Macaca fascicularis: one gene and its partner. The main gene of each other region encodes a partner of the protein of the gene in region 2 in a complex. Links are inferred from orthologs where the notes say so. Each region holds a gene or a part of one and is shown on either strand. Other genes may lie near its edges.

The links.
Region 1: PPP4R4 (region 2) and PPP4C share a complex: the UniProt entries of both Homo sapiens proteins name them as parts of the PP4 complex. The link is inferred for Macaca fascicularis from reciprocal best matches to the Homo sapiens genes PPP4R4 and PPP4C.

What each region holds. Positions count from the first base shown.
Region 1 is NC_088394.1:28,019,672-28,023,587, reverse strand, and holds the start of PPP4C (serine/threonine-protein phosphatase 4 catalytic subunit), read left to right. Parts: upstream 1-896; 5' UTR 897-985; intron 986-1,207; 5' UTR 1,208-1,270; coding exon 1,271-1,368; intron 1,369-3,916. UniProt on the Homo sapiens protein: Protein phosphatase that is involved in many processes such as microtubule organization at centrosomes, maturation of spliceosomal snRNPs, apoptosis, DNA repair, tumor necrosis factor (TNF)-alpha signaling, activation of c-Jun N-terminal kinase MAPK8, regulation of histone acetylation, DNA damage checkpoint signaling, NF-kappa-B activation and cell migration.
Region 2 is NC_088381.1:162,302,614-162,305,623, reverse strand, and holds part of PPP4R4 (serine/threonine-protein phosphatase 4 regulatory subunit 4), read right to left. Parts: intron 2,697-3,010; coding exon 2,549-2,696; intron 1-2,548. UniProt on the Homo sapiens protein: Putative regulatory subunit of serine/threonine-protein phosphatase 4.

The DNA of each region.
Region 1 (3,916 bases), on a different chromosome or scaffold from region 2:
ACCCTGTCTCTAATTTAGGAAAAAGAAAGTTGCCGGGCGCGGTGGCTCAAGCCTGTAATCCCACCACTTTGGGAGGCCGAGACGGGTGGATCACGAGGTCAGGAGATCGAGACCATCCTGGCTAACACGGTGAAACCCCGTCTCTACTAAAAAATGCTAAAAACTAGCCGGGCGAGGTGGTGGGCGCCTGTAGTCCCAGCTACTCGGGAGGCTGAGGCCGGAGAATGGCGTGAACCCGGAAGGCGGAGCTTGCAGTGAGCTGAGATCCGGCCACTGCACTCCAGCCTGGGCGACAGAGGAGACTCTGTCTCAAAAAAAAAAAAAAAAAAAAAGAAAGTTGTGGCCGGGCGCGGTGCCTAACGGCTGTAATCCCAACACTTTGGGAGGCGAAGGGGGGGCGGGGGCGGATCACCTGAGGTACGCAGTTCGAGACCAGTCTGACCAACAAGAAGAAACCACGTCTCTGTTAAAAATACAAAATTAGCCCGGCGTGGTGGCGCATGCCTGTAACCCCAGCTACTAAGGAGGTTGAGGCAGGAGGATTGCTTGAACCCGGGAGGCGGAGGTTGCGGTGAGCCGAGATCGTGCCATTGCACTCCCGCCTGGGCAAGAGCAAAACTCCGCCTCAAAAAGAAAGAAAGAAAGCTGTTAAAACATTTGTATAAAATGAAAGGGGAGGTGACTGTTCTAGGGTTTCTAACAGCCTCCACATCGCCCAGCAACAGAGCCCACAAAACTGCCCCTGGCCGCCACCGGGATCCTCCAGCTTCTTCCCCATCTGCGGTTGGGGAAGTGGTGCAGCGGTCGCTGCGAAGGAGGGAGAGGAGCGTGTATGACGCCACATCCGGCGCGCGGCGGAACTGGCTTCCCTTTGCTTCCGCGGCGGGGCCGGAAGTAGAAGCGGCGGCGGCGGTGGCTGCGGCCCAAAGCGGAGTGAAAGAGGGAGGCAGGGAGCCGGAGAGCCGGAACCGGAGTCGCAGCGGCGGTAATATTGCCAGACTCCTCTAAGTCACCGTCCTTAGCGCGGGACCGCGGGGTTCGACGGGAGTTAGCGGGGTTGCGGCCGCGCCGTGGGACGCTGGGGGGTCCTGAGGCCGATGTGAGGGGAGGCGGGGGTGGGGGAGCCGGGCCGGCTCTAGAATCGAGTTGTCCGCCCCGCGCCCCGCACGGACACTCTGATCCGCGGGCTCGTCTTGGCCTTTCCCAGGAGACCCCTGTGCGGTGCGGAGGGGGCGGCGGCCCCGACTCTGACCCGCGCCGGGGGTGGGCCATGGCGGAGATCAGCGACCTGGACCGGCAGATCGAGCAGCTGCGTCGCTGCGAGCTCATCAAGGAGAGCGAAGTCAAGGCCCTGTGCGCTAAAGCCAGGTGAGCCCATTGGCCCTGGGGAAGGGAGGCCAAGCCGCCGCCCACGGGTTCTGTCCTGGGGCAAACCCAACTGAGAACTTTGGGCTTGCCTCGCCCTGGAAGCTTTCCCAGAGAGGAGCAGGATGGAACCGCTGCCCTCGAGGAAAAGCTAGCCTGCTCGGGGAAGACAGAGCGGATAAAGACACTTAAAGTATTAGACGATGTGTTTCCAGTAGAGTAAGAATGTTACGTAAAGTACTTAGGAAACTCAAGGAAACAAGTCCATCTGTCGGGGGTCGGAAGCTTGTTGGAGGGGGGCCGAACTGTGGGACAGTCCTCGAATAAGGAGGTGGTAAAAGAGCCAAAAATCAAAGATTTAAGACAGGAAAGTTAAAGACCCTGTGATTTATAAAAGTCCTTTAATTACAACAACCCTTAAAGGTTGGTGGTATTGTACTCATTTTACAGGTGAGAACTTTCATGTTAAAAGTTACCCACAAGTAGGGAATGAGGATCGGAAGCCAGCTCTTAGTGTCCCGTCCTTTTTCAGGCCATAATGCAAAAAGGTGTGGAGTTGGATTACTCACGTTCAGGGTGGGAGCCTGAGAAATCGTAGCAAGTAAGCTAGGGTAAAATTAAGCATGATAGGGAGGGAGGCCAGTTCAGAGTTCTGTGGGAAGTAGGATGAAGCAGTGGTTAAGGCTCTGGGTTTTGCAGTGTGAGATGGCTCTAGGTTTGAATCTGAACTCTGCCACTTTCTAGCTGTGTTAGTGATCTTAAGGTGTCTTTATTTGTAAAGCGGAGTTAATAGTACTTAATAAGATGGTTGTGAAGGTTCAGTGAGTTGGTGCTTGAGATGAGGTTAGCACAGTGTCTTGGTACAGCATACGTGCTTGATAATCACCAGGTATTCTATTTCTCTTGGAAGAGGGCAATAATGAGATGGGTTAAAGCCATCAGGGAAGGCTTTTGAGTGGAGGTAGGCCTTGAAGGATGAAGATAATTTGGCTAGCTGATGGAGGCAGGGCCAGTGAGGGAAGGGCATTCCAAGCAGAACGAATGTAACAGTGGAGGCCCTGAGATGTATGGGGAACAGTCAGGGGTTTAATTATTACCTGCCTCCTCTGGGGCACTGTGTGATTGTGGCTTCTACCAGGCTGGAGAATTGTGGCAGAAGAACCCGCAGAATTACCCTATGTTTATTGAACAATAAACATTGGCCTTTATAGGGCCACTGTTGGCCTGGCCCTGTACTGGTAAAAAAACTTTTGTCCATCTCTTCCCCCCAGCAATCCTGTGAGGTTGGAATCATTTGTTCCATTTTATCACACAGGAAGCCATGACTCGTAGAGGTCTGGTGACTTGACTGAGGTCACCCACTGAGGACGTGGCAGAGCTGGGTCCTGAATCTGTGGCCCTCAGGCTCTTTGCTTGGCCCTGCCCCACATAGACTCCCTGCAGCCAGACAGGGCCTGTGAGGGGATGTTGAGCAGGGTCGGCCTCTTTTTCACCACCCGTCTGTGGCTTTTCTCTTTTGCCAGCTCAAGAAAATGTCCCTGACCAGACTAGCCCCACGGTGTTTTTAGTTTTTCCCTCTCCCTCAGTCCTGATTGGCATTTTTAGGAACTTATACCTGTTATTGCGTGGCTCTGTTCTTTAACCCTGAAGTCTTATCTCCGTCACAGGCCCTGAATCAGCGTGGTGGTGATGGTAGGCAAAGCTTGGATAGCATGCTGGAGTTTGCAGAATAGCAGGAAGTTATGTATTCAGTCTCCATGGCTCCTTGCAACAGCCTAAGGAATAGGCAGGGCGGGCTGAGTATTTAGCCCCATTTCATAGCAGAGGAAACTGAGCCTCTGAGTAGATAATGTCTTGTCCAACTCACGCAGCTAGTCGGAGGGGAAGTTAGTTTTGCATCCAGGTCTTTGACTGTGCTCCGTGGTCACTGAGAACCAGGCAGAGGCATTTAGGTTTTGATGTGTGGTGTGAGGCAGCAGGGAGCCATGGAAGACTGAGGGGTGGAGGGTCCTGCCCAGTTGAAACTGAGTGAAACTAGGAGGTACTAGGCCAAGGCTCAGTCTGAAGCGGGGCCCGCTCTGATACCTGGTTATGGCCTCCTGGGGACCCAACAGAGACCCAGGCTGAGGCTGGTAGTGTCAAGAGCACCAGCTTGCCCAGAGGGCACAGAGATGCAGGTGAAACCCGTGGAAACACAGAGGTCCGCAGTGTCTGAGCTGAAATTGCTGCTCCTAGAAATACTAGCACAGAAGAGCTGAGCTTTTGAATCAGGTGGTCTTCAGTATGAATCTTTGCCTTGTCACCTAGAAAGAATATGACCCTTGTCAAGTCACTTTCTGATTTTTTGAAATGATAATGACATGCAGTTGAGAGTCCGGGTATCTGGGCACAGGGCCTGCTGCGCTGGTAGCTGTTACTGCAGGCAGGTCATGATAGGGCTGGTGAAGTACTGCAAGTGACAGAACTGGGGCTGGAATCTGGGCCTGATTCCCAGACCATAATGGGGTCGTGCCGGCACTGAGGGGTGTTTTTCCGAGAGCACGGTCCCTGC
Region 2 (3,010 bases):
ATGAAAGAACAGATAAAGAGAGTAATCTGAAATAAAGGAGAACTGGCATAAATATACTGGGTTTCAACAGTCTTTACTGTAAAAAATGCCCATGGCATTTAGAAAAATAATAAGTGGACAAGAGAATACATTACTTTTGAAGTTACTAAATATGCTCTTCAACAGAAGAATTTCAGGGCAATCTTTTCTGAGGAAGAGGGTTTAGGGTAATAAACAGGATTTCAGGGTCGGGCGCGGTGCCTCAAGCCTATAATCCCAGCACTTTGGGAGGCCGAGACGAGCAGATCACAAGGTCAGGAAATCGAGACCATCCTGGCTAACACGGTGAAACCCCATTTCTACTAAAAAATACAAAAAAAACTAGCCGGGCGAAGTGGCGGGCGCCTGTAGTCCCAGCTACTCGGGAGGCTGAGGCAGGAGAATGGCGTAAACCCAGGAGGCGGAGCTTGCAGTGAGCTGAGATTGCACCACTGCACTCCAGCCTGGGTGACAGAGCGAGACTCTGTCTCAAAAAAAAAAAATAAATAAATAAATAACAAGAGGATTTCAGGATGCCAGAGCTAGAAGGCACCTTAAAGAAGGAGGAACCATGAGGCGGCCCTGTCATGTGACAGATATGCACAGTGAGGGTCAGTGCACTGAGCTGAACTTTGCACAGCCACTTAGCTGCTGCCGGGAACAAGACACACAAGGCTCTCTATACACCATTACCGTGTCCTGCCTCTGTTTTCATCACTTTTTTTTTTTTTTTTTTTTTTTGAGACGGAGTTTCACTCTTGTTGCCCAGGCCGGAGTGCAGTGGCGCGATCTCAGCTCACCGCAACCTCTGCCTCCCGAGTTGAAGCGATTCTCCTGCCTCAGCCTCCTGAGTAGCTGGGATTACAGGAGCACGACACCACGCTTGGCTAATTTTTGTATTTTTTTAGTAGAGGCAGGGTTTCACCATGTTGGCCAGGCTGGTCTCAAACTCCTGACCTCAGATAATCCACCTGCCTTGGCCTCCCAAATTGTTGGGATTACAGGCATGAGCCACTGCACCTGGACCTTTCATGACTTTTAAGTGGAACTTCCATAGTATAATCATGGGAGCAATAACTGTATAGCTAAAGAGCATTCTCTGTAAATAAAAGTACACTCTGCATTGACACTAACCTGTAATATCAATGTTCATTTTTTTCTATTACTATTATGTTTTTGTAATAGTACATTGGTTCTCTTTCCGTGAGCGCTAGTCAATAAATTTATTTCTAAACTTATTTCTAAATTTTGAATGAAGTTGGGCATATACCCAACGACCAATTAAACTTTGGAATACATATAGTTTGGATGTTTGTCCCTGCCCAAATCTCATGTTGAATTGTAATCCACAATGCTAGAGGTGGGGCCTGGTGGGAGGTATTTGGATCATGGGGGCTGATCCCTCATGGCTTTGTGTTTTCTTTGTGATAGTGAGTTCTCGCAAGATCTGATCATTTAAAAGTGTGTGGCACCTCCCCCAACCCCACTCTCTCTCTCTCCTGCTCCTACTTTTACCATGTGATGTGCCTGCTCCTGCTTCGCCATCTAGCAGGATAATAAGCCTCCTGAAGCTTCCCCAGAAGCAGATGCCGCTATGCTTCCTGTGAAGTCTGCAGAACTATGAGCCAATTAAACCTCTTTTCTTCATAAATTACCCAGCCCAGGTATTTCTTTATAGCAATGCAAAACAGCCTAAATCAGATCCTAAAAGGGACTCCAGCACAGAGTTTTTGCAAAAGAATGCATTTAAGAAACTTTATTCAAAAATGCCCATGCATTCACTAAAATATGTTTAAAAGAACATCTAAATATTGTTAAAAGTCTGTTCCAACCAGAAGGTTCAGGTGTCCTATATGAAATAGCTAACTTGTAACTACGGTTTGGGTATCCTGGCAGAATCATTTATAACTTGATACAGTCTCTTATCAAGGTGATTTTTATGGTACCCCTTTCTTAAATATTTAAGCTAAAAGAAAGACTTCAACAAATCAAACAAGATACAAATAGCACTTTAAAAGGAATCATGGGGGAAAAGGAAAATGGAGGCCCTTTATAACTTCAACTTCAAGACATAAGTATAGTCTGTAAACCTCTCCAGTTTACTGAACTCACAATTCTGGGTTCCATGCTGCCACTTATTTCTTAACGTGACATCAGCTGTACCCATCTTTCTGCACACTGGGTGATTAAATACCATATCCTTAAGCTAGGTGTTTAAAGGGATGCCTTCTTAGAGACAAATTCCCTAAATGTAAACATTTCATAGAAAAAAATTAGATTTCAGATATTAGTGGGAGCCATTTAAATGTTTCCTGTTGATTTCCTAAGGTTACAATGCCTTTGCCAAATGTAAGTTATTCTATATAAACTAACATAACAGAGTCACATGTGACAGTAATACCCTTTAATTTATAACATTTCCTCATTATAGACATTTTCTATTCTTTGGAAAGTACTTAAGTGGGAAGGAAAGTCTGTTGAGAAAAAGAGTAGGATAATACACTCAGTCTGACATCACTTGATTACTTACAAGGTAGCCTTCCGTGGTTGTGTATCTTTACTTCCACTGCTCTTGGGATCAACTGAGTTACCTGTCCCACGGGAAGTACTTGGTAAGGGAGTATTAGGAGAAAAGGAAGGTGGAACACTACTGGCATTACGAGTCCGGAATGAATCATCTGAAAGTAATACATATAAAGTCAGATATATCAAATATACTAAGAAAGAGGGTAACCAAAGAGAAGAAAAGGTTAATGATAGCTGACTTTTTCACTTTTTAAGTCAATTTTATGAGGGTAAAATTTACATACAACAAACCGCAAGAAGTTAAGGTTTTGACATATGTACACCCCCATGAAGTCATCACCACAATCAAGATGTGAGCATGTCTATCACTATGAAACAGTCCCTCATACCCCATCATGATCCTCCTCCGCCCTCTCCAAACCACTCCTGTCAACTATAAAATAGTTTGTATTGTCTAGAATTTTAT